Cricetulus griseus: one gene and its partners. The protein of the gene in region 2 binds, or shares a complex with, the protein of the main gene of each other region. Links are inferred from orthologs where the notes say so. Each region holds a gene or a part of one and is shown on either strand. Other genes may lie near its edges. The genes, in order: Rbm48, Srrm1, Crnkl1, Cwc15, Eftud2, Snip1 and Dhx16.

Region 1 (4,037 bases), on a different chromosome or scaffold from region 2:
CAACTGGAGAGAAAGGCACACAGCCCTTTGAAGTCAAATGCTTTAGTGGTGGGCTAAGTAGCATATAAAAGAAATATGAGGGGCTGGAGAGATGGTTTGGTGATAAGAGCACTTGCTGATCTTGCAGAAGAGCAGATTCAAATCCCATCACCTACCTTGGGTGGCTCACAACCCCCTGTACTCCAGCTCCAGGGAATCTGAAGCCGTTTTCTACTATGAAGTTACATCAATAGCAAAAGTCAGACAAAGATACACTTTAAATCAGGTTACTAATTAAAAAGAAAAAAAAATGGCTGACATGAACTAGGGAGAGTGCTCAGTCACAAAAGCACTTGCATAAGCTCAGTGCCTAGGTTGGAATCCCTGGCATCCACATAAAAGCTGGGCACTGCTGTATGCCTACAATCCTGGTGCTGGCAAGGGCGAGGTACAAGGATCACTGGTACTTGACAGTCAACCAGTCTAGCTGATGAGCTCCAAATTCAGTGAGAGATCCTGTCTCAAATAAATAAATGAATAAAACAGAGCGCAGTGTGGTGGCACATGCCTTTAAACCTAGTAGAGTCAGAAGGAAATTTAAATTTTAAGTTTTAAGTTTAGCCTGGTCTACCTAGCTAGTTCTAGGCTAGCCAGGACTACACATTAAAACTTGTCTCAAATAAATAAATAAATAAAAGTTGGAACACTGAAGAAGGCAATCAACATTGACCTCTAGCCCCCCCCACACACACACACTCACACTCCTTCCCCCCAAAATAAAGCATTGTTGACTTCACCTTATTGGAATACAAGAATTATGTCATATGTAAGTATTAAAAAGAAGGTGATTAGCATAGAACTTTAACAATAAGAACTGCCATTGCTAATATTTACTCCTAATAGGGAGTACATAAATTATTTCATTTCATCCACAGTCAGGGAACCTCAAGAAGCAGACCTTTTTGCTGTGTGGATTTTAAGAAGAAGAAAAATGTGCTTATCAGGATTTAAAACACTACCAAGTAATGAGGACATAGGGCTGGAAATTTGCTTCAAATGTAATTCTGAATCTACCGTACTACTGGTTCAAAAACTGTGAAGCACAGATATGAGACGATGGAAACAGCTTTGTATTTGTAAAGTCAGCCTTTTAAAAAAAATTTTAAAGATTTTATTTATTTATTATGTATACAGTCATGTGCCTGCATGCCAGCAGAGGGAACCAGATCTCATTCAAGGTGGTTGTGAACCTCCATGTGGTTGCTGGGAATTGAACTCAGGACCTCTGGTGGTGATAAACACCTTTAATCCCAGCATTGGAGATGCAGAAGCAGGCTCTCTCAGCTTGAGGCCCGCCTGGTTCCACAGAGTGAGCTCCAGGGCAGCCAGAGCTATGCAGAGACCCTGTCACGACCCTCTAAAACAAACAAAAACAAACAAACAAACAAACGGGAAGATCTAGGGTGATGAGTGTTTGTGTGACATGGATATGTCTGGGAAAACCCCAGGGCCGAAATGACAGCAACAGGAACACAGGGTATAGCTACTGCTTAATTTGTACACACCTTGCACTTTGTAATTTCACAAACTTGATGAGATAAACTTCTGTAAAATCTTCTGCTGGGTATTCATCTAGAGCGTTATACTGTTCAATCGCACCGTATAGAGCAAATCGCTCGACTAATTCCTTCATGGCTCCCACTGCAGGGACTCCCTGTATTAATAAGTACTGGGATTCCAAATTGATTGTGTATACCTAAAAAACAACAACAACAAAAAACCCTCAATCAATAAATGTACCTCGCAGACAAGCAAGCCTATGGCAAATCTGTCGCTCTGGGAGGAGGAGGAGGAGGAGGAGGAGGAGGAGGAGGAGGAGGAGGAGGAGGAGGAGGAGGAAGAAGAAGAAGGAAGAAGAAGAAGAAGAAGAAGGAAGAAGAAGGAAGAAGAAGGAAGAAGAAGAAGAAGAAGAAGAAGAAGAAGAAGAAAGAAAGAAGAAGAAGAAGAAGAAGAAGAAGAAGAAGAAGAAGGAAGAAGAAGAAGAAGAAGAAGAAGAAGAAGAAGAAGAAGAAGAAGAAGAAGAAGAAGAAGAAGAAGAAGAAGAAGAAGAAGAAGAAGAAGAAGAAGAAGAAGAAGAAGAAGAAGAAGAAGAAGAAGAAGAAGAAGAAGAAGAAGAAGAAGAAGAAAAGAAGAAGAAGAAAAAAAGAAGAAGAAAAGAAGAAGAAGAAGAAGAAAAAAAGGAGCTTTGAAAGCAAGAAGAAGAAGAAGAAGAAGAAAAGAAGAAGAAGAAGAAGAAAAAAAGAAGAAGAAAAGAAGAAGAAGAAGAAGAAGAAAAAAAGGAGCTTTGAAAGCAAGAAGAAATACTCTGGTCAATTCCGCCTGTAAACACACACGCAGAACTGTCGCTCCCGGCTAACGGCTAACACAGGCCCCCTGAGGGCGCCTGGCTACCCCAGTCAGCGGGCGCCAGTGCGCGCGCTGAGGAAGCGCTCCTGTCAGCTCGACGGCGCGGAGCGGCGAGGAGCGCAGCGCTGACCTCCGGTCGGTCCCGGGGCCTCCCGCGGGGAGAGACCCCTCTGTGGCGGCGTCCCCGTCAGGCCCTCCTCACCAAGGCCGCCCCCGCCCGGGGGCCTGGGAACGCGAGGAAACCGCAGCCGCCCTACCTTGACGGCGCGAGGGCGTCGGCCCTCCCGGTACCTGGCCCGCGAGTCACACACGGCCGTCTGCACGTGGTGATCGAAAACGCTCCCCGGCTTCCCGTCACTGGACGCCATGCTGCCAGCGGCGACCCCCAGCGCCACAACAACATCCGCCGGACGCGCTCCTCCTCCTCCGTGGCCAATGAGAGGGCAGGGTGGCTGGCGCGTGCTTGGATTGGCCGGGCAATCGACGCCATCGACGATCGTTTCCTGGGAGCGCGAACTCGGTCCTCCGTGTGCCGCCCCCTCGCGTCTCGGAGGAGCGACGGGAGGGTGACGCCGGCGGGGCCGGCGACGAGGGGGCGGGGCCGATCGAGCGGCCGATCGAGCGCCAGCCCCGGGCTCCGGCGGACGCCGCGACCTGCGCGGGAAGCGGGCGGGCTCGGGGGAGCGGGGCCGGGACGATGTGGAGCGGCGATCGCTCGGCGGCTGCGGGCTCGGGCGGGGCGGTCGTGACGGTGGCCTTCACGAACGCTCGGGACTGCTTCCTCCGCCTGCCGCGGCGCCTCGTGGCCCAGCTGCACCTGCTGCAGGTAACGCGCTGTCCGGGTGGGGGCCGGGCGCCGCCGGGGTCCGCCCGGGCCGGGCCTGGTCCGTCCCCGACGGCGCGGAGCGTGTGAGCGCCCCCCCCCCCCCCGCGGCGCTGCACCCACCCCCTGCGCGGCTCGGGCGGCCCCGGCCCCGGCCCCGGGCTTCCCTCCCAGCCCTCCGCCGCAGCTCGGGTAAAGCAGACTGAAAAGTCTGGGATTCTTTGCGAAGCAGCCTCGCTCTCGGCTGCAGAGCTCTAGAGGTCTCCGACCCACGGGCTTTCGGAAAGCGTCGTCCTGCCACAGAGGCCTCCTTCCAGCCGCTGTGTAGATTACGGAGGTTTCCAGTTCGTGCCCAAGAAGGTTAATAGGACGGCAGCTCTCCCGGCTTAGGAGAGAACTACGCAGGGGTGTGCGGGGAGGGGAGGAGCAGGCGATGGAATTATTCACACCTCACACCTTTACACAGGGGTAACAGGATTACTGGAACCTCAGCGAACTGTCACTGTCCGGATGCCGTCATTATGGTGTTCCAAGGTGGAAATACAGCACGCGGATTTTCTTAACCAAGAGTGAGAGGCAAATAGGTTCTCATGGGGGGGGGGGGAATCGAAAATTAGAATATTTGAAATCTTCTAAAATCTGGCATGCTGCCAGACTACTGGTTCATCAAAGAGGTATCCAAGAGTTTGAAATGACTTCAAGTAGTTCAACTTTCTTTCCTCTTGAGCTGCTTCTATCTTGCTGTTAAAATCCACCTATCAAAACACATCAATTTCATCAGAATCAGTTTTATTGTTAGTTTATCTTACCAAATAGACTTTCTTTTTTT
Region 2 (4,166 bases):
CCAGGACAGCCAGAACCACAGAGAAACCTGTTCTCAAAAACCAAAACAAAATCCCTATTAAAGTACCTAGAAAGTGATCCAGAAAGGCTATAGCTGAATGGTTTAACACTTGGCTAACACATACAAAGCCCTGGGCATGGTCCCTAGTACTGCAAAAACAAAAAAGTTTTAAAGAAAAAAATGTTTTGGGCTAGGCTGGGCAGTGGTGGTGCACACTTTTAATCCCAGCACTCAGGAGGCAGAGGCAGGCAGATCTTTGTGAGTTCCAGGCCAGCCTGGTCTACAAGAGCTAGTTCCAAGACAGCTTCCAAAGCCAGAGAAACCCTGTCTCAAAAAACCAAAAACCAAAAAAAAAGAAGGAAAAAAAAAAAAAAGAAAAAAAGGAGTGGTGGCCTACAACTTTAATCTCAAGGTTGACTCAGGAAACTGGTGATTTCTAAGAGTTCAAAGCCAGCCTGGTCTGCATACCAAGATCCTGTTAACTAGCAGGGCAGTGGTGGCTCATGCCTTTAATCCCAGTGCTTGGAAGGTAGAGGCAAGTGAATCTGTCTTGAAAAGGGAAAAAAATACTGTCAACAGCCTCCTTAAAAATATAATAGAAATTTACCTTACATGGCTGTTGTATATATGGGAAATGATTCACATCAAGTGCCCAACACAAGGGCACTTCAGTAAATTCAGGATACCATTTCTACCTTAAACCAAATTTCAGTCAGATTCTGGTTGGCAGTGTACTAGATAATTGATCTAAAATCTTAGCTCAAGGCTTAAATGCAGTCTACAACTCCATTAAGCCAGGTGTGAGGCAATGTCTGGAATTCTAGCACAAGGAAGGGCTCTGGCTGGGTTCAAGACCAGTCACAGTTAGTGAGAACCCAGTTTCAAAACAGCTGCTCCAGCAACCAACCCAGTGACAACAAAACCATCCAACCCTGGGACAAGACTACTTGGTTTAAGTAAATGTAAAGAGTAAACTTTTAAAAACTGGATTCTTTTCCGGATTCTGTCCAATTTCAAAGGAAAACTTCGTCTAAAATAGACTCCTCAGAACATTTTGCATTCTTCATTCATTCAAACTACTTCCCACTAGAAATAACTGAGAAGCCGAGCAGTGGTGGGGCATGCCTTTAATCCTAGCACTGGGGAGACAACTCAAGGCCTATTATAGAGTTCCAGGAACAGAAAAGCCAAACACCGAGAGAGAGAGAGAGAGAGAGAGAGAGAGAGAGAGAGAGAGAGAGAGAGAGAGAGAGAGAGAGAGAGAGAACTAATAGACAAGTGAAATTGCTTTTAAGTGTAACTTCTGTGCCGTAAGAACTTGAGTATTCACTATAAAATACAAGCTCGCTTGAAATTACCACACTCCAAGTATGTAACTCTCTTAGTGCTTGTATGATCTAAGAAACAAGTGGCTAAGCGCTTTAGGTTAAACACTTGGAATAATATTGTGAATACGTAGTTTGCAGTGCCAAGAGATTCAGAGTGCTGGAGAGGGAACCCAGAATCTTGCTCATGTTAGACATACGTACCCAGCCATAAGAGGCTTCCTTATTAAATTAACCCTTTCCCTCTAATTTTTCCTTTAATAACTAACACAAACTGCAAATTACATGCTCGATCCAGGGAATGCAAAATTAAGCCGTATTACAGTTAGCAGGCATTTAAACTTTTACCAAGCAGTGTCTATACGGTTTTTCTCTGCGTTTAAAAGAATGAGCAAACCCTAACGGGATCGTTGCTACTCAACTTTTAATCCTACAAGTGTCCGTTCCCATCCACCTGGATATAGACCTGCAGCAAATTTCCTTCACGGGTGGGTGGCTCCCACCTAATAAACTGCCTTAGCCTGGGGTGGACCAACTCTAACAAGGAAACGTCCCCTGCCTGGACCTACGATAGAACCACAGGACCCCAAACATCGGCGGCTGGGAAAAGGTGCGGGCGGGCGGGCGGGCGGAGAGCGGGAAGAGCAATGGGTTCCCGCTGTCATCTGCTTCCACCCTCGCGCACACACTTCGCCCTAAAAGCCTCCGATTCAAATGTTCCAACTACAGATTATCTGAGTCCCCCCTCCCGAAGAGCTATCAAATTGGGCGGGAGCGCTCTCGAACTCTGACCCTGCTCCTCCGCAAAGGCTCAAGACCCGGAGGGTGGACGCTTAGACGTCCGCTTAAAAGCCCCTCTCCTCCAGAAGCTCTCTCGGACGTACCCCCAAACCGTACTACCGGTGCCCCGCGGCCGCGTCGGGCTTCCCACCGGCCTCCCCCCAGGGACTTCCTCCTCGGGGCTGCACTAGGCCCCAAGCCCCGGAGGCCGGCGCGGCGCCCGGCCTGCAGGCCCCGCCAGGCGGCCGGTGAGGTTCTGCCCCGGCCCATTCCCGCCGCCATTTTCCGGCCCCGGCCGCCGCCGCGTCGGGGGGGGGGGGACGATCCCGAAGGAGGAGACTGCGCAGGGGCGCACCGGTGTCGGCCGCAGCGCCCAGGGCACGGTACGCCGGCCCCCAGCCCCCTCGGGGTCTCTAAAACCTCCCTCCACGGGCCGCCGCGCCCCGGGTTTGAGCCCCCTGCCGGGTCTCACGGACAAGGCTCTCGCCTCCCCCGCTCCAGATCCCCGCGCTCCTACTTACGCGGAAGAATCCCGCGTCCATCTTGCTGCCTCGCTCGGAGATCGCTCCCTATCCCAGCGTGCACCGCGCCGCCGCGACGGAGGGCGGGACCGGCAGAAGGGAGCCCAGCGCCGGGATGCTGCGCGCGCCTCTGCACCCTCCCGCGGGCCTGCCGCTGCGCCTGCTCAGTCTTCCGAGGGAACGCCACGCATGTGCCAGGCTCTCCCGGGCCTCCGCCTTTTGCAAAGAGGGGAGGAGATCCCGGCGGCCGCAACCAATGGAAATAGGAGGGCGAGTCCTCGAGTCGCCCCACCCTACGAATCCTTTTGTGGCGCGTGATCAGCCTTGTTCGCGCGACGCGAGTTGGTCCCTTCCGGGACCCGTAGCGGGGGAAGGCCTCGGCCCTGGGGTGGCTGGGGGACGTCATGGTGGAGAAAGGTTGCCCAGGGGTGACGCTGGTGCGGCGTTAGAAGCTCGCTGCCTTGTCATTGTGAAAGTCGGGGAGATGTGTGGAGGCTTTGGGTGGCCGGCGGCTTTGACCCGGGAGCGTCAGTGTCAGCGCGAGTGGAAGCCGCGTGCCAGCCGGATCTGCGTCGCGTCTGGCGTGCGCTCGAGGTGTCCATTGGATACGTTTCTGAAACCGTGCTGAAGGGCAGGAAGTGGACGAGGGGCAGGGCCTCCAGAATGTCCACCAAGCGCTCTCTCCCTTCCCCAGGAAAGCCTTATCATAGGACACCTTGTAGCAGTCCCTCTTTCACAGACACGCTCATCTCCCCTGCTTTCTCTTGGGGAAAAAAAAAAAAAGTCTGGCAGTGGGTCTGTCTGTGAACACCCGCACGTCCCCAGGCACTTTTCCTAGGCTTCAAACTTAACACCGACGCCCTTACCCTTCCCGCTTGGACGGCCATAGACCAGACAGACTGGGCTTATCCAGGCCATCAAAACCAGCAAATCGAGCAAAACAGCGGGGAGGTCAAGCGGCCGCCCCCGAGTCCCCTCTATCTCTGTAGGTGCCAATAGCTTTCCTCTTGCTTAGGACCGACCTTGCTGCTGAGACCACTTTTCTGCACTTCGCGCCTCTAAGCCATCAGGAAACCCACGTGCCACTATGATGGAGGCCCAAGATCCCTTTATCTGATTCCAACCCCGGCATTAGCCCTGTAACAGATAGATCCCTACGACCTTTCCACCCAGCATCCATTCCGAAGAGTGGCACTGTTGGAAACGTAGGCATTCTTGCTGAGAAGTCTCCAGTGGTTCCTTACATATTTCCCCCCCAAAAGTCAAAATCTCCCTCTCTTTGATCTCTTGTGCCCCAGCCTGACTCACTGTACTTCCTACGTTAGTTCCTGCTGTCCAAGGCCTCCGACAAGAACAGGCAACCACAAAGCGGCTTGGCAATCTTCAAATTTCACTTAACTGTTCCTCAGGGAGCTGCCCCCCACACCCTCCACATCCCGATACCCTTTAGTCATCCTTCTACCCCCAGCTCTTATCACCTGATACTTGTTTAGATGTTTTGTTTTGTTTTGTTTTTAAACCTGGCCCCTTTTTTGTTTCT
Region 3 (2,776 bases), on a different chromosome or scaffold from region 2:
AAGTATACACATAATGCTAAAAATGAAAAGGGGTCGGAACAAGACTGGTATCAGCACATTCCTTTTCTAATGGGATCAAAATGAGGTGTCATGATCCTACCCCATGTTTAAGGCAACAGAAAACAAAGACACAGCAATGTTAGGACTGGACTCAGGTTGTGTGGTATCAACATGACAGAAGACAGTGACAGGTTTAGAGGCACAAACACCATCAGAGAGACCTTTTTCCTGCAGAATGGATCATGAACACGTAAGAGTCAAGTTGCCTGCACTTGGTGCACACCTTTAATCCCTGTACTTGGGAGGCAGATGGATCTCTAGAGTTCAGGCCAGCCTGATCTACAGAGTGAGTTCCAGGATAGCCACCAGGGCTACACAGATAAGCCCTGCCTCGACTCCCTCCCCTCAAATGTCTGCAGTTCTACCTAAAATAGGTGCTGAGCACATTAATTTCATGTAATAGACAATATGGGCAAGTACTAGGAAAGTTAGGACTCAAGTAACAAAACTTAAAAAATTTTCTTTACTTGCAATTTCTCATCCACATTTAAACCCAAGGGTGTTTTCAAAAATAATTCAAAGGTAGCTACCAAAAAATGCCAAACAACTCCTTCCTGGGTAAATATACAAAAACATTCAGAAGTCAAAGTTCTAAACTATTAATCCATAAAAATATTACAACATTTAAAAAGATGAGGATTCACTCTCATCAATGTCCTTATCTGGATCCTGTTCGGCAGCTTCTTTTTCTTGTTGCTGTTTCTTCCAAAGCTTGGCCATTGCCAGAAGTTTGAGGTTAGGCTGGTTGGCAGCATCCTCAGGAAAGATGTAATCATAGTATTCTTCCCACCCAGCATCGGACTGCAAAATTAAATCCACCAGTTAAAAGGGGAGTGCACATCTCTGGAACATGCTTCATTCAGAAGGGAGAGTGAAGGGGAAACCTAGACTTCAAATTCACCCATGTTTACTATACAAAACAATAGCAAATCCTGCTGTAGGAGGAACGAAAGCCTGGGCCCAAGTGAGTGACTAAACAGCTGCTCACTGAAAATGAAGGACCAAGTGAAGGAAATTAAACCTCTAAGCACAGCTTCTCCTGAGGCAATCAAGACACTCAGCACCTCAACTCCACCCCACAGTCATGTTTAAGACTTTAAAATTTTGAGTTTTATGGGCTGGAGAGATGGCTCAGCTGTTAAGACCATGTGTTGCTCTTGTAGAGGACCCAGATTAGGTTCCCAGCACCCACATGGTAGCTCACAACCATCTATAATTCCAGTTCCAGGGAATCCAATGCTGCCCTCTGACCTCCAAGGGCGCAAGGCATGCACATGGTACACACATACATGTGTAGGCAAAACACTCTTTAAATATTAATCTTAAAATTTGAATTTTACCCAATATTCAGTAGCAGAGGCCACCCATATAGCTGTGTATTATTTGGACTCCTAGCTCTCATCTTTTCACTTTCAACTGATCATGGATTTTACTTCTAAATACTATCCTGAAATGCACGCTCTCCTCTCATCTCCCACACATCCACCTCTCAGTTGCTAGACTTAGGAAAACTGTCCAATAGATCATCTATATGTCACTCAAGTCTACCTGTATGAATTGCCAGTAATCTAGTCATATACAGGCATCTTCAGTGGTTCCCACCAAACTTGTGCAACCCTAAAATGTCTTCTCAGGATTGGTGCCCCCCCCAGTAGTCCTCCCCCCATGCTGACTTCCTACTTCCCACTCTACAAATATCACATTCCCAGACTCCACCCTCACTGTCTTTGCCACACACACACCCCTTCCTGCTCTATTTTCCATCCCTGCTGTGTTCCTAGTAGCCAGACTACAAGTGGTCCTTATTCAGGCAGTCCACTACTTCAAAGCACACATTTCAAAGTCAGATGCATTTCTACTCCTTTGACAAGATATGAACAAGCTCTAGTGCTTAGCCCTTACCCCATCGTCGGCCTGGACCTTTCTTCTCTTCTTGACCTTTTCTGGCATGAGTTTGTCTACTCTTTCCTTGTCTGATACGGTTCCAAATTCATCTTCAAAACCTCGCCAGGATTCCAGCAACATAAGTCTCTCTTCTTTTTCTTCACAGTTTCTCATCGTTTTATTTGCCTCTTCATAAATCTGTCTGCATTTAGCCACACTTCCTTCTTTCCCTGAGGATAACTCAAACTGAGCAAAACTGATCCATACCTTTAAAAAATTAACAGAACCAAATTACCCATGTGGGCCAGAAGACAGTAATATGATGGCTTTAAAGCTACTTTCTCCAGTTGATAACGTGATGATGTATCACTGATAGCATTGCAGACTAATACATTGCACATATCTGACCATACACTGAACCTTGAATGTGATTTCCAAGAGATTCATGTGCACATGTGCAGCATAAACAATGACCTGGTATAAGCTTAAAATTCTTAAGTCCTTTAAGAACAGATCCTAAGAGCAAGAAAGTCATTTAAAATAGTCAGTCAGTCTAAAAGCACCAAAACTGCTGTATAAAATAAAATGAAAGACTGTTGACAAAGTTAGGGTACCTTGACATGCTGTGTTCGCTGAAGCAATTGTCGGTAAAGATTTCGTGTTCTTTCAGTTTCTTCCTGCTCAATCTCAAAATCAATATATGATTTCCAAAGTACCTAAGAAAAATGATAGGTCAGTCTTAGCACTAAGAAAGCCATGTGCCCCTATAGTTCAGCCATCCTGACCTACACCCAAGACCCTATGACTTCATTCAACAATTAAGATTCATGTG
Region 4 (4,111 bases), on a different chromosome or scaffold from region 2:
TGGCAAATAAGCCTTTGATAAATATATGGTAGTAAATATTAAATGAATTAATGAGTTATGAGGATGGCAGCATCTCAGGAAACTTAGCCAATGTTCATACATACTAGAAACACAAGAAGGGTTACTGACGCATCTCAACTACATGGAGGAATGAATAAAATGGGGCAGCTCTGGATAGAAGGCCTGGGTTCCAGCTGCTGTAAAGCCAAAGTCTAACGACAGGTACTGAAATGATGGCTTTGAAACACCATTTCTTCTAATACCAAAGCATGAGAAGATGGAACTGGAATGAACGTCATTATTATCTCTAATCATTTATCAAAGAGGTATAGTACACAAAAACATCATCTCCAATGACCAACACACAAACAATCTCCACCAAATAACTTTGAGACAGACACTAAGAACAGTGTAGGTACCTCGGGTTGGACGGTCCCTATTTTTTTCCCTTGCAGCAGCTCTCTCTCTCTCTTCCAACTCTCTCCTAAAGTCACGGTTACGAACCTCTTCAGGGGCATCCTGTGTAGTTTGTCTTAAGAAGAAAGAAACTGGGTTAAAAATGTTACTCTCACTTGTCAAGGAAAAGAACCTATAAGGCTACAGTAATTTAAGACAATTTAGGATACAACTATCTCTGACCAATAAAATGAAAGAGGACACGATAATAAGGGACACCTGCGATGTTTTCAGTATTACTATTAGAACAAACTAAAGCACACACTCTCCTCCAACATGAAATGTCTGAATGAAATGTCTTTGTTTTTTTAAACTATTAATCAACTCAAGGGCTGTCACAGTAACGCTTCCATATTCACTACAGTTCAGTCTTCTCTGAGGTACTTATCATGAATGAGTGCTTCATCTACACACAGGAATTTCTGGTTGATAGGAATGTCTACTGAAAGAACGTCCAGTAACACTTAAAAACCACAGAGTATAATTTATTGTAAACCCCTTTGAATTCCATTTCTTTGAAGATAGGTAACAAATACAACAATCTAGACACAGTCATAAGTCATGCAGGTTTGGTCCCATTCTGTGAACAAGACAAACCAAGGCCTTATTACCTGTATTTTATCTTTGTATGAGAGGGGAGGTCTCTGCTTGAATACTGCTTTGAAAGCTGGCTCAAATCCCCTTCTCCTTTTCCTCGTCCACCTCTTGCAGGTTCAAAAGTTGGCCTGGCTGCTGTTGTCATCTTTTATTCTTTGACAAAAGTGAGATTAAGTTATATTCGGTAGAACTCTCATCTTAGAAATCATTCATAAATATCTATCCTTATGACTAATTCCCAAAACTCTCCCACAAATTGCTTAAGTAGTTTGTTTTAACACAAATTTCTACAAGTTCAGAATTATGAAACTCAAGTTGCACATGAGATATGTCCTGCCAGGCAGCTCTTAATTAAAAAAAAACAAACAAATAAGCAACAACAACAACAAAAAACCCAAAACTTATTTGAAGATCTGAGTTTGTGCTTTTGTTCTAGCTAAGTAGACTTGGGCAAGTCTCTTAGCTTGTTTTTGTCATCTCTGGAATGCTGATATTTCTGTAGTGTTATTATGACAATTCTGACAAATGATGGCAGATCTCATACAATAGTGTAATGTGGCTTTTAAAAAAAATAACTGTTTTAAAAATTCTTATCTTACTAGCACTAGGTTCTCTTGAATTTGTTTGTTTGTTTTGTTTTGATAGGGTCTTAATATGTAGCTCTGGCTGACCTGGAACCCTCCAGGGATCTACCCAACTCTGCCTCTGGAAAGTTGGAATTAAAGGTGTGGACCACCACGCCTAGCCAAGATCTGCATTTCTATGAGAAACCTCACACAACAGTAAATAAACCGAAAGGAAAAAAAAAATACGCAAACAAAACACCAAGTTTCTTCTAAAGTCACGGATCACTCTCAAACTTTAGTGTCTCAGAGTGAGTTTGTTTAAAACCCAATGACATTCACGCGGGCCACACTACCCAAAACCCAGTTGATGCAATTCTCTTCTCCAACAGTTACCCTAACACGTAGAAAACCTTTGGTACGATGCAACTTTAGCAGTGCTCAGAAAACCGAAACCCCACCCCGAGAAATATCAAGAGCCCATCCCGAACTGGGGTGTACTTCTGGGACCACCCCAGGCGCTCGGAAGGTGAAAGCGGGAGAAGCACGAGTTCGAAGCTAGCCTGGGGCTACACGAGACTGTCGCTACAGCAACAAGAGAACCTTGTGCCACTTTCAACTTGGAGCTGTCACATCAGAATTCCGGCGGACCGACTGGGCTGCTAGGCCTCCGTTAGCGTGAGCAGCGCGCTCAGACAGACCCGGAGGGAAGGAGCTTCGTCCCCATCCCGCCCTGCTGCTCCTCGGTGTCAGCGGCCGGCGCCGCGCCGGTGCCCGCCCGGGGCTCGGCCGAAGCTCCCGACCGCCATGCCGGGCCTGGGGCCCCGGCCGTCCTCCCGGCAGCGATCCCGGCCCCCCGGCGCCACCCTCGCAGGGACCACAAAGCCCCATGCACCCCTGCCGCTCGCTCACTCCGGCGGGGTCCCACGCAGCGCCTTGGGAGGCTCACCCACGAACCATCGCAGCTCCCAGCTCCCAGAAAGCTCCGCGCCGGGGCAGCCAGCCCAAGACCGGAAACAAACCGCTTGGCGTCTAGCTCCTCACCTGGGGGGCTCAGTTAAGACCCGGAAGCAAAAATCTTGGCACTTCCAACGGCCGCGTCGGAAGCTTAAGCTCCACACCCGGAAGCAAACCTGAGGGTTTTTTGTAACCGTTTCTCAGAGGCTGGTGCGCCGACCAATCCGCAGAGACCCTGGAGGAAGTTGGCGTGACGTCGTCGAGGGGCGGAGCCAGGGCGGCCCAGGGGGCGGGTGTTTGAAACCGGTGCTTGGGAGTCGAACCTAAATATCTGTGTTTTTTTGAGAGCCAATTACTTAATCTGTCTTGCGTCTTTTCCTTCCCCGACCCCCTCCCAGACTCCTCCGCTGCGGTGCTGCGAGGACCGAAGGCGCCGGGGAGTCGGCCCCGCGTCGGGCAAGCGTGAGATCTGAGGAGAGCGCGCCCGCTGGCCCAACGGCTCCCGCTCCTCAGTAGACCCCGCAGCCTAGGGACTAGAGTTGTCACTTAAGTGGATGTGAAGAAGGCGCACATAAGTACGGGGGCAGCCACGAGCTTTCCAAAGGTACCATTCCTGCGAAACCACTATCCTCGGAGGCAGGGGTCGTAGTCGCATTGCTTGTTAAGATATAGATACATAGAGATAATATGCATTAAGCCGCGTAGTGTGAGGGGAGAGGCCGTAAGCGTTAACGACAGCCAGCGTTTAGAGAACAGTGGGCTTAACTGCCAGGAGGAGCATGAGCTGCAATTAAGATGGCTTCCTCATCGTTGTCTTGGTGGTGCCCTATCCTTGAGATCTTGGGAGACGATAGATGCTCAGTACGTTCTCCAGTTTGTCCCAAGTGGAAGGACCGCCTAAAATCGAACATTTCGGTGCCTTCCTTTGGAACTTTTTAAATGAAGAAGGAAAATTAGAACAGATTCTTCCCCCCCTCTTCCTCCTTCCCCGTCCCCCCTCTCCCCCCCAAGTGGAAGGTAAAACATTTCTTTTTCTCATGGAAGCTATATACCTCCCTCAACCTCACACAACCTAAGAACACCATCAGATTAGCGGCTCAAGCCCAAGGTCCACCTCTGTCACTCTTCACATCCCGTTCACTTGCCAATCTTGTCCAGTATTGTGAGAATTACCCTGAAGTTCATTTCCCTGTCACCACATTCATTCAGGCTGCTGTCATTTTCCTCTTGTATTTGTAAATTGCTTCCAAATGGACTTTCCTGAGGTTTTGCACAGAATGACGGAGTTAGGGTACTTAGGATAAAACAGCCACTTGTCTTAACTTGATTCTGAGGATTCTTTATAGTCTGTCTCATGCCCACCTTCCTGGCTTCAGTCAGTCATGGGTACACCATGCTCTAGATGCACTCAACAGGACGTCTCTGTTTCTCAGAGCAAGGCAGGGTTCCCTGTTTATTTTGAGTTTTGAGACAAGGTCTTGCTATGTAGCCCAGGCTGGCTTTGAACTGCAAGTTCTATGTATCCTGACTGACCATCC
Region 5 (3,500 bases), on a different chromosome or scaffold from region 2:
CTGGACTACACAGTGAGTTCCAGGTCAGCCAAAACTACACAGAGAAACTAGGCCTCAAAAACTAAATAGACAAAATTTTTTTTTTTTTTTTTTTTTTTTTTTGGTTTTCAAGACTACACAGAGAAACCCTGACTCGAAAAACAAAACAAAACAAAACAAAAAAACCAAATAAATGAATAAATAAATGTGTTTGGGTGCTTTGCCTGCATGTATGTCTGTGTACCGTGTGCACATCTGGTGCCAGAGGCCAGTAAAAGGGTACTGGATCCCCTAGAACTAGAGTTACAGATGGTTTGTGAGCTGTCATGTGGGTGCTGAGATTCAAACTTCAGTCCTCTGCAAGAGCAGCCAAGCACAAGCCTTCTATCCCAGCACATGGGAGGCAGAGGCAGGCAGATCTCTGTGAATTCGAGGCCAGCCTGGTCTACTAAGCTAAACAGAGAAACCCTGTCTCGAAAAAACAAAAACAAAACAAAATAACAACAACAAAAAAATCCAACCCCTAAAATTACTTTCCTGTAGCTTAAACTTGTGAGCCTCGAAAACTGTCCAGAATTGGAGGCTGGCTGGGATTGCACTGTGAGACACTGCCTCAACCCGGGCCTCACAAACATCCCTTCGCTACTTCTACATGGATACATATTACACTTACCAAGCTTAAGATTCTCCCTCCATCTTTTGCTTAGTTTTTAGAGACAGGGTCTCTCTGTGTAGCTCTGGCTGTCCTAGAACTCAGTATGTAGTCCAGGCTGGCCTTGAACTCACAGAGATCCACCTGCCTCCGTCTCTCAGTTACTAGGAATAAAGGTGTGTATTATCACACCTGGCTCTAATTCATTTTAAGATGAATTGCTTAGTTCATTTTTTTCTTCCATGGTCTCTCCTCTCCACCCTTCATCTTGGCAGTGCTAGCGACTGAATCCAGGGTTCGTCTACCTCTGAAGTATGTTCCCAGCGGCTCTCAGCTTACCTCGTCAACATTTCCTAACACCCCCAGGGTGCAATTCACCTGGACCTGCAGACTTGAACACACTGAAGATGCAAGCCACCCTCATTTCCCCACACCTGCAAGCAGCTTCAACTTCCTTTTCTCTAGTGAATATTTTTTCTAGCTTGAGAAACATTGTCCTTTACAGAAGCTGATGGCAACCAGAACTTTGTTCCCATCTTCTGCTATCCCGAGAATATCTTATCTCCTTGTTAATAGACTAATCAATCCACTGCATCTGTCTTCACTGTTTGACAGTTTTATACATCTGCATAATGGAGTTAGTTCTTCTCACCCATCCCCTTCTCATTCCCACTGAAATCATTCTTCCCCAAAAGACCCTACTTTCTTTAAATCTATGTTTTACTCATCATGTTCAGAATAATGCTAAAACATTAGAGCCACTTTGGGTGCCTGTTGCCATTTGGATGCAAAATGTCTCTGTCTTGCTGGTGTTTGAACACCTAGTCCCCAGTTGGTGGTGCTGTTTTAGGCTTGTGAAACATTAGGAAGATGGAGCCTTGGGGCTTACAGTCTGGCTCTGGTTTCTGTCCTCTCTCTCCTCCTAGTGTCCTGAGATGTGAAGAACCAACTGCTGTCATGTGTGCTCTACTATGAGCCACTGAAGTCCTGAAATCATGAGCCGTAAGTCCTTCCTCCTTTAGTCGGTGCTTGACAGGTATTTGTCAAGAAACATAAAACAGTACTCTAAAACAGTACCCCCCCCCAAAAAAAAAAAAAAAAAAAGCCAGGCGTTGGTGGCACACGCCTTAATCCCAGCACTTGGGAGGCAGAGGCAGGCGGATCTCTGTGAGATCGAGGCCAGCCAGGTCTCCAAAGCGAGTGCCAGGATAGGCTCCATCGCCACACAGAGAAACCCTGTCTCAAAAAACCAAACACAAAACTTTTTACTAATTCTTTAGGGCTATTTTTTGGAGACAGGATCTCAACGAAGCCTGGGCTTGCCTCAAACTCATTGTGAAACTGAGGCTGACTTTGAACTCCTTATTAACTGCCTCCATTTCCATGTGTTGGGATTACATAACATTCCTGACTTTATAATAAAGTACCTTTGCAAGCCTCAAACTCTTCTGGACTTTTAACTCCTCTCTTAAACTGGAATAGGAATCTACACCCTCCTTTTGTATGCTCCCTCCCCCTATTTCCAAGTCAGTTTCTCTGTGCAGCTCTGGCTGTCCTAGAACTCACTCTGGAGACCAGGCTGGCCTTGAACTCACAGAGATCTGCCTGCCTCTGCCTCCTGAGTGCTGGGATTAAAGGTGTGTGCCACCACTATATTTTTCGTGTGCCTCTTTTAAAGTCGGAGCTCACAGAGAGTTGCAAGTGCAGATGCACTGACACAGCTGGCTTCCCGTTCCTCAAGCGGGATTGCTTGTGATTGTCAGGAGACACTACAGGGAACCAGAAGCGCTATTACAGAGCAAATACTAGAGCTCAGACTCTAAAACCACCTCATGAATGAAATGCTTTGATATTCCCTCTGAACTTCTAGGGGCCAATATAAAATACCAATAAAAATCATGTTACAAAAAAGGCAACATTAGAAATACATGCAGGTTATTACAGGAGAATTGTTTTAAAAAGGAGAGGGATAAAGAAAACAATGTTTAGCTGGTCTGTGGGAGGCACAGGCAGGTGCCTCTATGAGTTTAAGACCAGCCTCGTCTATAGAGGGAGTTCCGGGACAGCCAGGGCTGTTACACAGAGAAATATGCCTCAATGACCCCCCACCCCAAAAAAAGGGGTGAAAAAAAAAGTAAAACACCATGTTTGTTTTACCTCATCAAGATCTTTTGTCTCTCTTCCCAGTTCATCATCATCTTCATCAGAATCGAGCTCTGGTCCAATATAATTCCCAAATTCATCATACAAGTCAGTATCCATGATGCTAAAATTCAAGAAGAGTCGAGTCAGGATCTGTAAGTCCTGCAAGCCTGCATCACACCCTGTCTCCTCACACACCATCCCTTCAGGAGCTGCCTTGGGACTAACCCATCTAGTGAACAATCTCCCCAGAGTCCAGTACTTTCTCCACTTTGCTGCCCTACTCATTTTAAATATTCACACACCCCACCCTCATCACTTTATTTACTTAGGGACAAGGCCTTTTGTTGCCCAAACTGGCCTCAAACTCTATAGCCCACATTGGTCTTGAACTCCTGATCCTACTGCCTTAGCCTCCAAAGTGCTTCGATAACAAACTTATGCCCCATGCCTAGCTTTGTTTTATTTATTTAAAATTTTTTATTTTCTGTGTGTAGGTGTTTTGCCTGCATGCATGTCTTTATACCACATTCCTAGACATGAAGCCCACGTAAACCAGGAGAGGATGTCACCTCCCTTGAAACTGAAATTATAGACTGGGTGTAAGCTAACATGTGGATAGGGAGAATCGAACCTGGGTCCTTTGAAAGGGCAGCCAGTACTCTTAACCACTGAACCATCTCTCCATTCCCACCTGGCTTTCTTTTTAATTTTAAAGGCATGCAGG
Region 6 (4,110 bases), about 10 Mb from region 2:
GCTCTTGGCTTTAATCCCAGCACTTGGGAGGCAGAGGCAGGTGAATCTCTTTTGAGTTCAAGGCCAGCCTGGTCTACAGAACAAGATCCAGGACAGTTAGAGCTACACAGAGAAAGCCTGTCTCAAAAAAACCAAAGAGTTCTAGGCCTGCCTATAATACCTACTAAGCAAGTTTCAAGCCAATCTGGACCTAACTGACAGGAGGTCAACTGTCTCAACTACAAAGATGTGGGATCATGCAATTTTTGTGTCCTGTCGCCGCCGCGCCTGCTGCGCTCCGCCCCCCCCGCCCCCCCCCCCCCCGTTTAGTAAGCAAGCCATCATGGTTCAGACATCTTGTAACTCATCAGAATTTTCTTCATTTTAAGGCTGAGTAATAATAATAGTCCATTTACTATAAATACATATGGAATGGTAATGGGACTAGAATTCAGGAAACAGGCTAGGCAAGCGCTCTACTTCTAAACTTTAGCCCCAGCCTTTTCGAGACAGGGTTTCTCTGTGTAGCTTTGGAGCCTGTCCTGGCACTCGCTCTAGAGACCAAGCTGGCCTCGAACTCACAGAGATCCGCCTGCCTCTGCCTCCCGAGTGCTGGGATTAAAGGCGTGCGCCACCAACGCCCGGCCTCCCTTTTTACTTTTTGAGACAGTGTCTCTCACTAAACTTATAAACCAGCCTTGAACTTGTGATCCCCCTGCCTCAGTGTAGGGATACATGTACACACCGCCACACTGGCTTGGAGCAAGACACTAGAAAATCTGGAAGATAACTCAGCACCCATGTGGTATCTGACAGCGATCCTTAACTCAAGTTCTAGGGAATCTGCTACCCTCTTCTGGGATCTGTGGGTATCAGACATATACACAGTGCACACACATACATGCAGGCAGGCAAAACACATACACATGGGGGGGGGGGAGATGCACCAAAAAAAAACTTTATTTTTAATCACACACATTCAAGACTGTTCTAACATTTACAGAGATGCAGACAAAGGAACTAGAACAGCTAAGACAATTTTGAAAATACTAAAGTAAAAGGGATTGGGGCACTCAGGTTTCAAGACTTATCACTTAGTGTGGTACTTGAGACAGCATGGGATTGGCGGAATGATAGACAAAAATAAAGATAAAGATAAAGGTGGAAAGGAACAGGGCTCTAGAGAACAGCTGGAGGCCTCCCACTGGCAGTGAGATGTCTGTATCCTGACTGTGATACTGCCCACGGTTGTGTGACAAGTTGCCATTGGGAGAAACAAGGAAAGGTACATCTCTCTGCACTATTTCTGGCAAAGAGTTATCAGAATTAAATCAATAACTTCCTCCAAATTTGAAGTTTCACATAAAACAACACAAACATATATCTAGTCTTTAGAAAAGCCCACAGCCAGGACAAGGAAAGACGGAGACACGCCGGTGCAGGCCACCTTTAGGTCCAGCAACAGCTCTGGATTTGAACGTGGGTCCTAGCAAAGGCTCCTGCCCACTCACTCACCTGCTTCACTTTGACGGTGGAGTAGTGGGGGCTCCGGCTTCTCTTAGTCCGAGGAGACTTGCTTCTTCTCCCTGAGGACTTGTTTTTCTTTTTGGCTGGGGACCTTATCAGAGCATGGTACACAGGATTTTACCTCAATGTCCCTGCCCCCAAATAAATTAGCTTCAAGTATCAGGCTACTAAACATAACACATTTGTGAAATCACTAATGGAGTCAGGTCCTCACTTCCCTAGCCACTTCTCCCAGGCTCACATACACAACTGCCTGCTCACTTAGATACCCTAATACTTGAACCCCAAAGCTCTTTTCCCAGTCTGTCATCCTACTGATTGGCATCACTATCCAGGGAGTCAATCTTGCCTGGTTTTTGGTTTTGTTTTGTTTTTTGTTTTTCCTAACACACTCCCTTCTCCAACAACCACATCCAATCCCTTGGCAAGTCCCAGGGACCCACCCTTTCCTCCACCCCACCTCATTCCTACAATGCTGCTCCTTCATCGCTCAATTCCAGACACACTGCCTGTTTTGCTTCAACTTTTAAAACAAGCCCAATTCCACTTCAGGTTCTTCGCATACATTTTTCTCTGTCCTGACCCAGCGCTAGTGCCGGGGTTAAAGGCGTGCGCCACCACGGCCCGGCCACGTTACTGTTTGACTATATCCTCAGCACTAATTGAATCTATTTGTTATTTTCCTTCTTTAGGGTTGGAGCACGCCCAATTTCGCCGGGGCCAAACCATCTCTCTTCTTCACCCTGTGGCCCAGTACCTCAATTGATCGTTAGCCCACACTGTGCACTCAGTAAATCGATGCCGTACGGGGGGCATCGGCGAATGAGTGCTGCGAAGAAGTCGCCAGGACCCAACGTGAAACAACACTTTGGCGGCAGGCAAGTGGAAAGACATTCCCACCGTCCCCCGTGGGAGGCGGGGGGAATCTCATTTCAACTCAACAGGTGCTCTACACCCCGAGTCGCTCGCACCGCCCGGGCCCCGCGCCATCCCGGCCGCGGCCCTCTCACCGGCTCACTCCCCGGGCTCGACTCCCACGGTGGCTAGCGCGGCCCGGCTCGGCGGCGGGCGGGGACGGGCTAGCGGCTGGGGCGTCGGGCCGCCGGTGCGCGATAGGTTCGGGGCTCAGACGCTCCTGCTTCACCACCACGGTCGCCAGTGCGTCGTCGGCCCGGTGTCGCCGCCGGCCGCTTCGCTCCCGCTCGCTCTTCCCGGCCTTCATCCTGCGGCCCGGCCGAGAGCCACTTGCACGGTCCGTTGAGCCACTCGAGCCGAAGGAAGTGACGGCCCGACCTTTGTACTTCCGCTTCCGGGCAGCGCGCTATCCCAGAAGCCCTCACGGCGGGGGGTCCCCTAGGTGGGCGTGGCCGCAGATGCTAAGGTTCCTACGCTGGGGACGCCCGGGCTTGTGACCCCGGGATCCCGGCTCCTGGGGAAGTGAGGCTGGAGGACTGGAAAGTCAAGGCCAGACCTCGGGAGGCGGAGGCAGAAGAATCGCTGTAAATTCGAGGCCAGCCTGGGCAATTTAGTGAGTCGGTCAGGTAGAGATTGCCTAGCCGAGCCCGAAGCCCTGGATTCCATCCGCAGCACCGCCAAATAGAAATTAAGTTAAAAGGGCGGAAAGCCTGGAGAATGTATCTTAACAGTAAAGTGAGCGTTTGCCTCGCGTGTGCAAAGGGCTGGGGGCAGTCCCTAAGACCTCACAAATCACCAAAAGAAAAAAATCCTTTTTTTTTTTTTTTTGCTTCTCGAGACAGGGTTTCTATATGTAACGTTGGCTGTCCTAGAATTTACTCTGTAGACCAGGCTGGTCTCGAACTCGAGATCCGCCTGCCTCTGCCTCCCAAGCCCTGGAATTAAAGGTGTTCGCCTGGCTCTTAAAAAAGACAAATCTTGCCAGGCGTTGGTGGCGCACTCGGGAGGCAGAGGCAGGCGGATCTCTGTGAGTTCGAGGCCAACCTGGTCTACAGAGCCAGTGCCAGGATAGGCTCCAAAGCTACACAGAGAAACCCTGTCTCGAAAAACCTAAATAAATAATAAATAAATAAATAAATAAATAAATAAATAAATAAATAATCTTGGGGTCTGGGCTGGAGAGATGGCTCTTCCTGGGGTCCTGAGTTCAATTTCCAGCAACCACATGGTGGCTCACAACCATCTGTGATGAGATCTGGTGCCCTCTTCTGGCCTGCAGGGATGCATGCAGACAGAACACTGTATACATAATAAATAAATAAATCTTTAAAATAAAAGAAAGAAAATTGGAAAGTTAATCCAAACCTGTTCGTGGCGGATTGTTGATAGTTACAAAACACAGACAAATACTCAACAATAGGAAATTCTTTTTTGTTTCTTGAGACAGTGTCTATGTAATCTTGGCTGTCCTGGAACTCACACAGATCCACCAGCCTCTGCCTTCTAAGTGCCAATCGTTGCTAAACAAACTAAGGAGTCAGGAGATGACTTGCGTTTTAAGGCTGAGCAAAGGTGGTTTGCCCATCTCATCACATCCCTTATTAGATCTAGCGCAAAGTCTCCAATCTTGTTTACCAAAAAGCCTGGAGCGTGTGGAGCTAGTTCAGTAGAAAAAACTTGCACGTGGCC
Region 7 (2,393 bases), on a different chromosome or scaffold from region 2:
CCCTTCTCCAGGACCTTTGATGCCTATTCCACCTTCTACCTGAATTCCAGTGGCCTCATTTGTCGCCATCACCTAGACAAGGTGAGTGTCGGGACTGGGTGGGGTAGGGTGAAGGGCAGAGCATGTCTGTGTTCCTCCCCAGCCTCCATTAACCTGTCTCTGCAGCTGACACCCTCACACTCGCCGTCAACGCCTGTCAAAAAGCTGCTAGTGGGAGCCCTGGTGGCCCTGGGGCTGTCAGAACCAGAGCCCAACTTACACACGTGTTCCAAGGCCTGACCCAGACTTGGGTCAAGGCATCACTGAAGACTTTGCTACGCACAAGAGGAGGTGAAGGTGGACAAGAATGTCGAGGGCCAGCCACCTCCCTCCATGCTCTCTCTTTCCCATCTCATGCTGTGTAAAGCTGCTGTGTAATTTAATTTGTAAATAATAAAGTTTAAGCAACGATGAGGTAGAGTTTCATGTCACTTTTTCAGGGCCTCAAAGTTGCCACACACTTAATTCCAAAAATAATTTTATTTACTAAATATTAAATAAAGTATGGAAGGAAAAGGAAGCTGTGTGGTCCAGTCCGTTTGTCATCCACTAGCCCAGCTCTTCTCGTGTCTTGCCTACTTTTTTGGGCATTTTCTTAGCATGGGGATCTTCTAGTTCCTTGGCCTTATAGTAGTGGGGGGCCACTTCCAAGAGCCAGCTGCTCTCAATCTCCAGGACCTGTAAGAGGACAGAGGTCAGTAGGGCTCCTTCACTTCCAAGCCAGGGTTTTCACTGTGTGGTTAGGAAAGGCTTCCCTTCCCCTTTGAGGGCAAGAAGGCACCTGGCTATGTTTCATGCTGGCCGGGCAGACACACCCTGACCTGCTCAAGACATCAGGTAGGTGAGCCCCGAGAAGAGCCTGTTCTGTTCCTCAGGGCAGACTTCATCTGCTTCGTTTGCCTCTGTGGCCCCAGCACGTGGCACACACTTTATTGATGCTGGATATGAACCAAGCGAGGCTCTCGCTCGCTACAGAAGACTCACCGAGGTCTCAGCACGACCTCTACTTTTTCCACATTTATAAAACGTTTTATGTGTATGGGTGCTTTGCCTACACATATGTTTGTATATTACATGCATACCTGATGCCCAAGAAGGCCAGAAGAAGCCGGGCGTTGGTGGCCCACGCCTTTAATTCCAGCACTCGGGAGGCAGAGGCAGATGGATCTCTGTGAGTTGGAGACCAGCCTGGTCTACAAGAGCTAGTTCCAGGACAGCCTCCAATGCCACAGAGAAACCCTGTCTCGAAAAACCAAAAAAAAAAAAAAAAAAAAAAAAAAAGAAGGCCAGAAGAGGGTGTCAGATCCCCTGGAGTTAAGAGGCAGCTGTTAGCCAACAGGAGGGTACCAGGAAATTGCACTTAGGTCTTCTGGAAGAGCAGTCAGTGAGCCATCTTTCCAGCTCTGTTTATTACTGTGTGTGTGTGTGTGTGTGTGTACACTCGAGCACGCACACTCAAGTACAGTGCCTGCAGAGGCTAGAAGAGGGTGATGTGATCAATGATTCCCCCAATCTGGAGTGTATTGTGAGCTGCTTGCTGTGTGGGTGCTGGGAACTGAACCCAGGTCCCCTGCAAGAACAGTGAGTGCTCTAGACCACTGAGCCAACTCTCCAGCCCCACTGTTACCTAGGCAGATCTTCAACGTGTTGTCGTCCTGCCTCACCTTGAGCACCAGGGACTACAGACCTGTGCCATCAGGCACAGCTTCAATTATCTATTGAATGAGTTACAATTCTCAGATCTCGGAAGGCACTAACAGTTGCAGGAAAGGAATTTTTTTTTTAAGATTTATTTATCATGTATATAACATTCTGCCCCCATGTATGCCTGCACACCAGAAGAGGGCACCAGATCTCATTATAGATGGTTGTGAGCCACCATGTGGTTGCCGGGAATTGAACTCAGGACCTCTGGAAGAGCAGTCAGTGCTCTTAACCTCTGAGCCATCTCTCCAGCCCTGATTTATTATTTTTTTTTTAATTTATGTGTACCACGAGCTACATCCCAAGCATACATTAAGTCTGATGACATGTGACCCTATGTTAAACTAATAGACCTTTTTGTTTCGGTGACAGTCCCAGAAATACAAATTGAGTTTAAGATGCCAGCATACTGTCTCCCCAGTCTCCACCCATCTAAGCAAGCAACAATCCCTTACCTGTCTCATGAACTCCTTTGTGGTCAAGACAAGCTCATGGTAAAGCAACCAGCGTGGCTGTTGTTCAAAGAGAGAGGAGTTGGGATGAATAAACACTGTCTGCTGCTGCTTCACTGTGCGGTAGCCACTCCGAGTCAGCCTCGCGGTGTGGTAAAAATAACCCGAAGTGATGGCCTAAGATGCAGGCAAGAAAAT

The links.
Region 1: Srrm1 (region 2) and Rbm48 share a complex: the UniProt entries of both Homo sapiens proteins name them as parts of the minor spliceosome. The link is inferred for Cricetulus griseus from reciprocal best matches to the Homo sapiens genes SRRM1 and RBM48.
Region 3: Srrm1 (region 2) and Crnkl1 share a complex: the UniProt entries of both Homo sapiens proteins name them as parts of the minor spliceosome. The link is inferred for Cricetulus griseus from reciprocal best matches to the Homo sapiens genes SRRM1 and CRNKL1.
Region 4: Srrm1 (region 2) and Cwc15 share a complex: the UniProt entries of both Homo sapiens proteins name them as parts of the minor spliceosome. The link is inferred for Cricetulus griseus from reciprocal best matches to the Homo sapiens genes SRRM1 and CWC15.
Region 5: Srrm1 (region 2) and Eftud2 share a complex: the UniProt entries of both Homo sapiens proteins name them as parts of the minor spliceosome. The link is inferred for Cricetulus griseus from reciprocal best matches to the Homo sapiens genes SRRM1 and EFTUD2.
Region 6: Srrm1 (region 2) and Snip1 share a complex: the UniProt entries of both Homo sapiens proteins name them as parts of the minor spliceosome. The link is inferred for Cricetulus griseus from reciprocal best matches to the Homo sapiens genes SRRM1 and SNIP1.
Region 7: Srrm1 (region 2) and Dhx16 share a complex: the UniProt entries of both Homo sapiens proteins name them as parts of the minor spliceosome. The link is inferred for Cricetulus griseus from reciprocal best matches to the Homo sapiens genes SRRM1 and DHX16.

Annotation. Positions count from the first base shown.
Region 1 is NW_023276806.1:221,965,166-221,969,202, forward strand, and holds the start of Rbm48 (RNA-binding protein 48), read right to left. Parts: upstream 2,801-4,037; 5' UTR 2,754-2,800; coding exon 2,643-2,753; intron 1,736-2,642; coding exon 1,545-1,735; intron 1-1,544. Other genes in the region: Pex1 (peroxisome biogenesis factor 1), read left to right, coding at 3,083-3,211. UniProt on the Homo sapiens protein: As a component of the minor spliceosome, involved in the splicing of U12-type introns in pre-mRNAs.
Region 2 is NC_048595.1:17,919,366-17,923,531, reverse strand, and holds the start of Srrm1 (serine/arginine repetitive matrix protein 1), read right to left. Parts: upstream 2,801-4,166; 5' UTR 2,648-2,800; coding exon 2,627-2,647; intron 1-2,626. UniProt on the Homo sapiens protein: Part of pre- and post-splicing multiprotein mRNP complexes. As a component of the minor spliceosome, involved in the splicing of U12-type introns in pre-mRNAs. Involved in numerous pre-mRNA processing events.
Region 3 is NC_048599.1:33,095,571-33,098,346, reverse strand, and holds the end of Crnkl1 (crooked neck-like protein 1), read right to left. Parts: intron 2,661-2,776; coding exon 2,559-2,660; intron 2,212-2,558; coding exon 1,963-2,211; intron 862-1,962; coding exon 685-861; 3' UTR 501-684; downstream 1-500. UniProt on the Homo sapiens protein: Involved in pre-mRNA splicing process. As a component of the minor spliceosome, involved in the splicing of U12-type introns in pre-mRNAs.
Region 4 is NC_048597.1:127,975,011-127,979,121, reverse strand, and holds the start of Cwc15 (spliceosome-associated protein CWC15 homolog), read right to left. Parts: upstream 2,801-4,111; 5' UTR 2,661-2,800; exon of another isoform or gene 2,529-2,660; intron 1,207-2,528; 5' UTR 1,199-1,206; coding exon 1,068-1,198; intron 533-1,067; coding exon 420-532; intron 1-419. UniProt on the Homo sapiens protein: Involved in pre-mRNA splicing as component of the spliceosome. Component of the PRP19-CDC5L complex that forms an integral part of the spliceosome and is required for activating pre-mRNA splicing.
Region 5 is NC_048600.1:115,243,214-115,246,713, reverse strand, and holds part of Eftud2 (116 kDa U5 small nuclear ribonucleoprotein component), read right to left. Parts: intron 2,898-3,500; 5' UTR 2,894-2,897; coding exon 2,789-2,893; intron 1-2,788. UniProt on the Homo sapiens protein: Required for pre-mRNA splicing as component of the spliceosome, including pre-catalytic, catalytic and post-catalytic spliceosomal complexes. Component of the U5 snRNP and the U4/U6-U5 tri-snRNP complex, a building block of the spliceosome.
Region 6 is NC_048595.1:27,987,065-27,991,174, forward strand, and holds the start of Snip1 (smad nuclear-interacting protein 1), read right to left. Parts: upstream 2,801-4,110; 5' UTR 2,729-2,800; coding exon 2,517-2,728; intron 1,598-2,516; coding exon 1,495-1,597; intron 1-1,494. UniProt on the Homo sapiens protein: Required for pre-mRNA splicing as component of the spliceosome. As a component of the minor spliceosome, involved in the splicing of U12-type introns in pre-mRNAs. Down-regulates NF-kappa-B signaling by competing with RELA for CREBBP/EP300 binding.
Region 7 is NW_023276806.1:229,796,489-229,798,881, reverse strand, and holds the end of Dhx16 (pre-mRNA-splicing factor ATP-dependent RNA helicase DHX16), read right to left. Parts: intron 2,373-2,393; coding exon 2,199-2,372; intron 718-2,198; coding exon 589-717; 3' UTR 501-588; downstream 1-500. Other genes in the region: C1H6orf136 (uncharacterized protein C6orf136 homolog), read left to right, coding at 12-81, 166-279. UniProt on the Homo sapiens protein: Required for pre-mRNA splicing as a component of the spliceosome. Contributes to pre-mRNA splicing after spliceosome formation and prior to the first transesterification reaction.